2 linked regions of the Callithrix jacchus genome follow. Each later gene encodes a partner of the first gene's protein in a complex. Links are inferred from orthologs where the notes say so. Each region holds a gene or a part of one and is shown in the gene's direction. Other genes may lie near its edges.

Region 1 (5,106 bases):
ACAAAGCAGCTTATTGACAGCAACCCCAACCAGCCCCTTGTCATCCTGGAGATGGAGAGTGGTGCCTCAGCCAAGGTAACCTAGGGACCGGGGCCCTTACCCTGGGGCTCAGCAGCCCTCTGGTGGCTGATACGCGTCCTCTGTGGCTCTTAGCCAAGGGGTTATCTGGGGCCCCCTATCTGGGATTTAGGTGGGACTGAGCCCTGGGGTGATCTGGCTCTGGGTGGGAAGAGGAGCAGCTCCTTGCATGTGTGGGGCACGCTTGGGTGGGGTTGGGGGTGTGTGGCGGTCTTGCTGTGGACTGCAGGCTCTCACCTGAGTGGAGAGCAGGGTACCTGCTCCAGCACCGTGGCCTGAGCCAGCTCTTCCCACCCCCCGCAGGCCCTGAATGAAGCTTTGAAGCTCTTCAAGATGCACTCCCCTCAGACGTCTGCCATGCTCTTCACTGTGGATAATGAGGCTGGCAAAATCACGTGCCTGTGTCAAGTCCCCCAGGTCAGAACTGCCTACGACCTTTCACACCAGGGGGGCAGTGTAGGTCTTAAGCTTATTCCTGAGGCCTGTGTGTTCACAATCGGCATTTGAAACTAGACACCTGTTGCCCTTTACCCCGGCCTTCTCATTGGTGAAGATGTCTGGTTGATACTTGGCTTTGCCACTCTGTCCTTTCCTGGCTGTGGCTATGACTTCCCCCTTTACCAGCTGTTAAGCGTGTCTCGGCTGCCAGCATCACCACCCTGGGCAGGAGTGGGGGATGGCTCCTGCATTTCTTTTCCTCCATTCCTCATTTATCTTGTGTCCTAACTCCCCCTTCCCTTCTTTTCTTCCAGAATGCAGCCAATAGGGGCCTAAAAGCCAGCGAGTGGGTGCAGCAGGTATCAGGCCTGATGGATGGTAAGGGTGGTGGCAAGGATGTGTCTGCGCAGGCCACAGGCAAGAACGTTGGCTGCCTGCAGGAGGCGCTGCAGCTGGCCACTTCCTTTGCCCAGCTGCACCTCGGGGATGTGAAGAACTGAGGTGGGGAAGGAGGAGTTTGGCACTGGATCCATAGGTCCAGCCAGGAGTTCCTCCTCTGCTCTAAGAACATTAGAATCTTGGGACCTTTAAAGAGCTCCCACCATCTTCCTAACCCCACGGTAACTGGAAGAGGTCCTGTGACCCAGTATTCCTTATATGTCTGCCCTGAGTACCCCAGCATTGCTGTTGTGCATCGATAGGCATCTGGAGCGGACAGCTCTCCAGACCTGAGCTGTCTGGGTTAGCAAATGGGAATCATTTTCGCTGCAGAGAATAAAGGACCATGTGCAATAATTGACGCCGCAGGATCTCTACCCATTCCCAATGGGGGCGCGCCGTTTCCACAGCCTGTGGCCCCTGCTGTCTAGAATAAATGCTGTGACTCCTGCTGGCTGCTGCTGTATTCACTGTCTAGCCCCAGAACTCTGAATTTTGGGAGTAGCCCCTGTGGTTGCCTCAACCGTTTGTGGCGATGGAAGCCAAATAGGTGACATAGAGGGAGGTGTTCATAATTCAACAGAAAATGAGGGGTGGAAGCAGAGAAGCCTCTTTCTTCTAACTGCCGCCCCCCGCCCCCGTTGTATGTATGAACGCCACATGCCCTGCACTAGCGGCACCAAGGCTTTGAGGACGCCGGCCGTTCTCCCTCCAGGCCTTCAGAGGGCGCTATAGCGAAGCCGGCTGCTCCCCGACATCCTTCGCGCAGGCGCGCATCTTTAAGCAGCGGAAGAGCTGGTGTGCGTGGTGGAGCAGCGGCCGGAAGCAGGTCGCACGCCAGGCGCCGTGATGCCTGGGGACCACCGCCGTATACGCGGCCCGGAGGAATCACAGCCGCCGCAGCTGTACGCGGCCGACGAAGAGGATGCGCCCGCCGCTCGCGACCCGACGCGGCTGCGACCCGTGTACGCTCGCGCGGGGTTGCTGAGCCAAGCCAAGGGCTCAGCCTACCTGGAGGCAGGAGGCACCAAGGTGTTGTGCGCGGTGTCGGGCCCGCGCCAGGCCGAGGGCGGCGAGCGCGGGGGCGGCCCGGCCGGAGCGGGTGGCGAGGCCCCGGCCGCGCTGCGTGGTCGACTGCTCTGCGATTTCCGCCGCGCCCCCTTCGCGGGGCGCCGGCGCCGCGCTCCCCAGGGCGGCGGTGAGGAGCGTGAGCTGGCGCTGGCGCTGCAGGAGGCGCTGGAGCCAGCGGTGCGCCTGGGCCGATACCCGCGTGCACAGCTCGAGGTGTCTGCGCTGCTGCTGGAGGACGGGGGCTCAGCCCTGGCCGCCGCGCTCACCGCCGCTGCGCTCGCCCTGGCCGATGCGGGCGTGGAGATGTACGACCTGGTGGTGGGCTGCGGCCTGAGCCTCGCTCCGGGGCCCGCGTCCACCTGGCTACTGGACCCCACGCGGCTCGAGGAGGAGCGCGCCGCCGCCGGTCTCACTGTGGCACTCATGCCCGTCCTGAATCAGGTGGCTGGGCTGCTGGGTAGCGGGGAGGGTGGCCTGACCGAGAGCTGGGCGGAGGCCGTACGCCTTGGCCTCGAGGGCTGCCAGCGCCTCTATCCAGTGTTGCAGCAGTGCCTGGTGCGGGCTGCCCGTCGCAGGGGCGCCGCCCCGCCCTGAACAACGACGGACGCCACGCCGAGACCCGTGCCGTGGGCCTCGAGCCTGCATCGAGATATGCAGCAGGAGCCCCGGAGAGCACCTGGAGAGGCTGAAACAGAGCCGAGGCGCCAGACAGCTGTGGTGGTGGAAGGGCTTTTTACAAACCTCATTAAAGGAACTTTCCTCCTTTAGCCGGCTCTCAGCTGCGACCCAGTTGAGAACACCTGTGAGCGCAGCCTGACTTCCAGGCTGGAAACTTGGAACTTACCTGGAAGCTGGTATCTGGGAACTGTAGTCATTTAAGGGATAGATCCTTTGCACCGCCAGCCAGAGACTCCCTCTGACGTAACTGGGCGACTTTTGAGAGGTTGGACAAGAGGCTGTGCCTTCTCACCGTGTCTGAGCCAAAAGAAAAACACTTCTATATCTGAAAAGCGTCTTCTGTTGTGATTCTTCTTGGTCCAGGATTTTAGAGAGCACGGCTTCTTTGTTCTTACATCCCAGGTGGCAAGGGGCCGTGACCGCGGTGCCTTTAACCGGTCCCGTTCCTTAGACCAACTTGAACGGGACAGATAGGCTGCAAAGAACAGCTGCAGGACTGGATGTGGGCCCTGTGCTTTATAGAAGGAGAAGCTGCCCCCACACGAACCAGAGACAGGACAGCTGCTGAGATATGACAAAAGTAGGAAGAGTTGTATGGCCCCAGCGGCGCGCTGAGTGCACCCCAGCCCCCCACCCTGGTTTGGTACTGGGCAAGACCCAACTCGGCTGGGTAGCTGGAATGGGTTTTGCTCTGGGTGGAAGCCAGATCTGTCCTTGGCCATGTGGAGAACGGCACAACCAGAGGCCTCCACAGCCGGTGGGAAGTGGTGTCCTGGGCCGTCTTCACGTGGTGCCTTGGTCCTAGGAGGAAAACCCTGAGCAACGCCCAGAGAGGGCAGGTGAACTGCCAGGAAAGCCAGGTACGGCTTGGCTGCTCCATAGGGCAGAACCGGCCTGACTCACCACGAGGGTGGGGTCTTTCCTGTGTGGCTCCCAGATCTGCTGGTCTGGTCTCAAGGCTGCTCTGGACGCAGCCAGGTGACTGCCATTGAGAAGGCAGGGCAGCCTGGTCCGGTCTCTGCACTCGGCTTCTCGGGGAAGGGCCGGTGCCGGGCAGCCCAAGGACCAGAATGAGTTTCTGGAGCCACACCAAGAAGCCTTGACCAGGAAAAAGATTTATGAATTTTATTTTTTCCCTTTTGACTTACCTTTCCAGAGCAGGTCTGAAATGGTATCACACCAGTGGAGACAGCTCATGTTATTCTGAAGGATGGCTTTGGAGAGTGGATGACGAGTCTGGAGCCCCAAGAGGGTGGTGTGGGGTGTACGCCGAGGACCTTCCGGCTGTTTCGGGCAGGGAGGGAGACTGGGATCCCAGGGAAATCTGTTGGCTGTTGGTGCATCCAGAGGGGAGTGAAGAGCAGCTGTGGCCGTGTCTGCACTCAGGACTGAGGATTGCCCCTGAGTGCTGGGGTGGGGTGGGGGTGGGCTGTCAGCTGTCCCTTGGAAGACAGCCTCAGCTTCATGAGGATGGCGACCTGGTACAGTCCCAGGCTACCTCCCTCCTAACGCTGTCAGTCCCATGGCTGTCATCGTGAAATGTAACCTCCTAAGAAGCTAAACCTGCTGCAACAGTGAACCTTCCGCTTTTCTGGCCAAGCCCTGTGTTCTCTTCTATTGACCCAGCTCCAGAACGGGTATCTCAGGTTGCATGGGTGCTACCAGGAGGCCTTCACAACCTAGGCAAGGCAAGGACCTACCCCAGAACGCCCGGAGCTGATGAGCCTGGAGGAGATCCTGCTTCCTCTTGGCTGTCCTGGTCCTATGCGTGGTCCTCCACCTGTAGGGAAAGTAGAAGCAGGACGTTAGTGGAGGGGCAGGAGGCATGGGCTAGGAAAGGAGGGGCCCACAGCACCTAGTCTTTCTGCACCCACTTTCCATTTCCCCAGAGCTTTGGCACCTCAGATCTAGGAACTCAGAACCACCAGGCAAAAGAAAGCATTTTTTCTACATGGAGATGTGCCCATTCAAATGTTACAGGTGTGACTCAGGCCCTGGGCAGCAGAGAGAGCTCTCCCGAGCCCAGCAGGCCAAGAACAGAGCTGTGTGGGTGGATGGGGGTGGGCTCCCAGCACAGTGTAGGCCAGGCGTGGCCTGCCTCAGACCACCGAGAGTGGAGGTGATGGTAGAGCAGGGAATGTTGGGGCCCTCTAATTTCACACAGAGGGCTGTTACCAGTTCCAGGAAGGTCTGTGTGCCATAGCTTCTGGGGGTGGGGCATGGGACAGCTGGAGACCCAGCAACGGCAGGTGGAGATGGGGCCCGGAAGAGGGGCTTGGGTTTTAACAAGCTTACCAGCCAGGTCTCACACAAGGGCTTTGGGGCCTTGGGGCACACCTGTGACATTCCCTCTACAGTCCTCCTGTCCCTGTCCCCCCAGTGCCTTCCAGGAGAAGGTATTTC
Region 2 (5,106 bases), on another chromosome or scaffold:
CCATTGCACTCCAGCCTGGGCAAGAGGGACAAAATTCCATCTCAAAAAAAAAATAAGAAGAAAAATAAAAAACTCCTAAATGCATAGATACAGATTTAGGTGAACAAAGTCTGAGGCTAGGGCCTCTCCCCTTTAGCTAATGGGGTAGGGGATGCCAGGAAAATGATATATGTAGTAAGTGGGCTACAACTGAACACATAGACTTTTCATCTCAGGACACTGAGGTAAAGCAAAATTCAGAAAGATGTGTGGGGGGAAGAAGGGCAAAGTGTAGCCTCACTACCACCCCAAGCAGAAGCCCCGAGTACTGTGATCCCTCAGAGTAGTCACCACAGGCCATAGTCATGATCTGCCACCAGACTGGAGGAGACTACAGGCCACAGCCTCCCTTCTTCCCATGGCTCTAAGTCACCATCTGTTTCCCAAGGGGAAAGTCGACTGAGGGAACAGGGACACACGGCAAACGCCATCAGAAGTCAGGTGAACAACTGAGATCAAAGACGCTGCTCTTAGGATGTTTGCAATTCCAAGTAGGAGATACCAGACATCAATGAAGAGTAGCATTTTATTCATGTGCAGATCTCCCTTCTGGGCTAACACGCTGAGAAGAAAAAGAATAGCAACTTTATTTTGGGGCTGCTCATCTTTTCATGAGGGGCCCACACAACCAGAGCTCGACTTTTTCAACCTGAGAAAGCTCACTGAAGTAGGGATGGGGGGCCGTGAAGAGGATCAGAACGCAGGACTGAAAGCTGCGGTTTAAAAAACCGGGAAAAGGACCAGGCGCGGTGGCTCACGCCTGTTATCCTAACACCTTGGGAGGCCGAGGCGGGTGGATCACCTGAGACCAAGAGTTCGGGACCAGGCTGGCCAACAAGGTGAAACCCTGTCTCTAAGTACAAAAATTAGCCAGGCACGGTGACACACGCCTGTAATCCCAGCTGCTTGGGAGGCTGAGGCAGAACTGTTTGAACCCAGGGGGCGTAGATTTCAGTGAGCCGAGATCACGCCACTACACTCCAGCCTGGCGACAGAGCGAGACCCCGTATATATTTAAAAAAACAAACAAACAAACAGGAAAAGGTTTTATTTCTCAATGAGAGCCACGAGGTGAAACTGCGACGGTCTGTAAGTCAAAAACCGTGGGTTCCAGTTTGGGCTCTATCTTAACTATCTTCAAGATTTTGGACAAGCCAAACCCTGTCTCTGAATCTGAGGTTCCCTATCTGTGAAATGGAGGGGGTCGCTTGACCTCCTTCCTTCCGGCTCTATGCCTAACGGTTGCTCGGAAGGTGTGCTCCGGCGGAGGAAGACACGGCCCCGCAGGGCGGGGCGGGGAGAGAGCAGGAACCCGGACTCAAGACAAGGCCTCAGGGCAGTGCCCGACCCAAAAAAAGGGACTAGGATTGGGAGCAAGGGCCGAGGCTTCGCCCTTACCTGCCGCCTGCCGACTCCCCAGTCAGCCAAACCGAGCCCCGCAGCCTCTGCCGCCGCTCACTGCCACCCCTTCTGACTCGGCGCCCCGGCCGGGCCGGGCTCAATCCAACCCACCATGGCACGCAGCCCGCAGCGCCAGCCAGCGCAACCGGACCCGCCGCCAGCCCATCCTCAACCACAGGCGCAGTCGCAAGCGTGGAGCTCTGAAGTTCCGCCCCCGGATTTGTCCCGGGGTAATCTGGGAAATTGAGTTTACCCGCAAGGAGGCGCTCCTACAGATCACGTGATAAAGAACACCAATTGACGCAAGTCTTACTGCGGAACTGTGCCTGGGTTTGGCCAATGAGAAGTCGACTTCGTTTCCATCCGGGTTTGGACAGCGGCAATCATGGCGCCACCCGTCAGATACTGCATTCCCGGTAAGAGAGCGCTTCCCGTAGAGTCCTGGAAAGAGGTCGAAGCTGGAAGGCTGGACGGCCTATAGCTTCTGGGGGCCAGTGACTGATAGAGCATTTTTTCTGCAGGCGAACGTCTGTGTAACTTGGAGGAGGGCAGCCCGGGCAGTGGCACCTACACCCGCCACGGTTACATCTTTTCGTCGCTTGCCGGCTGCCTGATGAAGAGCAGCGAGAACGGCGCGGTAAAGGGAGCGGCTTGCCGTCTCCTCTCTCTCTTTTCACTTAGGCTTTCATTAAGTTCCAGTCCTTAGGCATGGCCACTGCGGACGTGTCTTTAGTGCCTCACCGGTACAACCTTGGTCTTAGTTTCTTCTAGCCGTGATCGCCGCCGTTGTGCACTTGGACACCACAAACTAGTTGTGTTGATCTCGCTTGGTTGTGCTGCTGACTCTTGGGGAGGGAGGTTGGGACAAAAGCAGATGTGAACTCAGTAACCCAGCCCAGCCCAGCAGTGAGTTGCATACTGTATGAATGTCGCTTATCTCTCCGGCTTTATCTTGCGCCACTATCTCCACCTCACTGACGCAATCTAGTCATACTGTCTTTTCTGTTTTTAAAATTTATAATCACAGTCTCTGCTTGCCCTTTTTTAAAAAATTTATAACATACTAGCTTCTCTCAATGTCGCTAAGGTGCCAAGCTTTCTCCTGCTACAGAGCCTTTGTAACATTCATCTATCTGGAACGCTTCTGTCTTCCTAGGCCCATTTAATTCCTACCTCCTTTAGATAGCTTCTGTACTATCAACTTCTCAGAGAAGCCCTTCTGGACCCACTAATTGAGGAAAGGGGTTTTGTGGGGTGTTTTGTTTTTGTTTGTTTTGTTTAAGACTCACAAAGACCTCTGTTCCTTTTATTCCAAGCATTTATGTCAGCATATGATTAGAAACTCAGGTATATGATTCCCACCAGACTTCTCCACTGCTTGAATCTAAGTTCCATGAAAGCAGGCCCTACCACCATACATTCAGTATCTAGCACAAGGCAGCTCCTCAATAAATGTTTGTTGAATGCATAATACCAAACTTTCTAGTTTTAGAAATTGATCGGGCTGGGCGCGGTGGCTCAAGCCTCTAATCCCAGCACTTTGGGAGGCCGAGGCGGGTGAATCACGAGGTCAAGAGATCGAGACCATCCTGGTCAACATGGTGAAACCCCGTCTCTACTAAAAAGTACAAAAAATTAGCTGGGCATGGTGGCGCATGTCTGTAATCCCAGCTACTCAGGAGGCTGAGGCAGGAGAATTGCCTGAATCCAGGAGGCGGAGGTTGCAGTGAACCGAGATAGCGCCATTGCACTTTAGCCCCTGGGTAACACAAGCGAAACTCCGTCTCAAAAAAAAAAAAATCAGAAATTGATCTAGGATTAGCTCAGGATCGCATAAGCAATATTTGAAGGAGCACAATAGAGGATTCAGAATTAGAACACATAGGTTCTAGCTAACTAGACCTTGATTCTGCTTTGAGTAAGTAAATTAAGCTGTCTGATTCAAGGGGCTTTCTATTCAGTCATTCTTGGGAATGTCCTTAACAGTCCTGAGTTTCTTCACTTCACAGATACCATCTGAGTGTTTTCATGTGTCAGGCACAGCGCTGACTTGGTTTCTGCTATCAAAGGACACAGACACAAATTGTAAAATAAATGCTTAAATTGTATATGGTTACATATTTGGTGACTGCTTAAAAGAATATTACAGGGCACCTTGAAAACATGTAACAACCAAACCCACCCTAGTCAGCAGAAGTGACATTTAAGCTGAATCATCTAAAGAGTAAGTAAGAGTTGGGTGGGTGGAGAGAGTGTAGTTCTGGTAGAAAGAACGGGTTGAAGAGAGATCCAAAAGTGGGAAGAATTTAGTAAGTCAGAGAAACTGAAAGAAGGCCAGGAGAGCTGAAGCATCATGACCAAGGGAGAGATTGATAAAAGATGAGGTTCAAACTATCTGTCTTACACCAACAGCCAATACCATGCTCAAAGAGCAAATGCAGCTATTCACTTAAAATAGAAGAAAACAAGCATGGCCACTATTATGTAACATTTTTGTGGGAATTTCAGCCAGGCGGGGGCTCAAGCCTGTAATCCCAGCACTTTGGGAGGCCGAGGCGGGTGGATCACGAGGTCAAGAGATCGAGACCATCCTGGTCAACATGGTGAAACCCCGTCTCTACTAAAAATACAAAAAATTAGCTGGGCATGTTGGCGCGTGCCTGTAATCCCAGCTACTCAGGAGGCTGAGGCAGGAGAATCACTTGTACTCAGGAGGCGGAGGTGGCAGTGAGCCGAGATCGTGCCACTGGACTCCAGCCTGGGCAACAAGAGTGAAACTCCATCTCAAAAAAAAAAAAGAAAAAAATTATCCATGATTATAGGCAGTATATAGTTGTATACCAAGAAATTCCAAGAGAATCACCAAAAAACTTACTAGAACTCATCTAGAATAGTGAGATTTATGTCTTAGCAGCATTCTGTAACCTCTTTTTCCTACTATTTCCTAAAGTTTCTAATGTCTTCTGCTCTGGGCTATAAATGAATCTGTACTCCAACTCTCAACTGTGTACTAAGGCATTCCTATGTTACTCTCAAGCCACAAATGCCTTGACCCAAGGGTTAGCCAGGACATTTCAGTTTTTTGTTGTTCCCTCTGTAGCTTCCTGTGGTGTCTGTAATGAGAGAAACAGAGTCCCAATTACTGCCAGATGTGGGAGCTATTGTAACCTGTAAGGTAAGACGGTTCTAACCTCCATGCTTTGAATGCCCTTTCAATACTGAAATCATGATCATGCTAGAACTGCAGTGTCCAGTATGATAGCCACAAGCTACATATGGCTACTTAAACAGTATTAAAAATTTATTTCTGGCTGGGTGCAGTGGCTCATACTGCATCTAGCACTTTCAGAGGCCAAGGCAGGAGGATTGCTTCAGCCTAGAGTTCAAGACTATCCTGGGAAACAGTGAAACCTCATCTCTACAAAAAGAATCAAAATTAGTCAGGCATGGTAGCACATGCCTGTGGTCCTAACTACTTGGGAGGCTGAGGCAGGAGGATCACTTGAGCCCAGGGGGTTGAAGCTGCAGTGAGCCATGATTGCTTCAGCCTGGGTGACAGGGCAAGACCCTGTCTCTCAAACACAAACAAAAAAAAACATTTATTTCCTTAGTCACATTAGCCACATTTCAAGTACTCAGTAGCCACTTGAGGCTGATGGCTGCTAT

The links. Proteins that work in one complex are often made in the same cells at the same time.
Region 2: EXOSC6 (region 1) and EXOSC1 share a complex: the UniProt entries of both Homo sapiens proteins name them as parts of the RNA exosome core complex. The link is inferred for Callithrix jacchus from reciprocal best matches to the Homo sapiens genes EXOSC6 and EXOSC1.

The regions. Positions count from the first base shown.
Region 1 is NC_133521.1:31,651,150-31,656,255, forward strand, and holds EXOSC6 (exosome complex component MTR3), read left to right. Parts: upstream 1-1,758; 5' UTR 1,759-1,803; coding exon 1,804-2,619; 3' UTR 2,620-4,282; downstream 4,283-5,106. Other genes in the region: AARS1 (alanine--tRNA ligase, cytoplasmic), read left to right, coding at 1-75, 382-495, 831-1,016. UniProt on the Homo sapiens protein: Non-catalytic component of the RNA exosome complex which has 3'->5' exoribonuclease activity and participates in a multitude of cellular RNA processing and degradation events.
Region 2 is NC_133513.1:90,265,537-90,270,642, reverse strand, and holds the start of EXOSC1 (exosome complex component CSL4), read left to right. Parts: upstream 1-1,805; 5' UTR 1,806-1,825; coding exon 1,826-1,856; intron 1,857-1,961; coding exon 1,962-2,077; intron 2,078-4,540; coding exon 4,541-4,615; intron 4,616-5,106. Other genes in the region: palmitoyltransferase ZDHHC16, read right to left, coding at 331-470. UniProt on the Homo sapiens protein: Non-catalytic component of the RNA exosome complex which has 3'->5' exoribonuclease activity and participates in a multitude of cellular RNA processing and degradation events.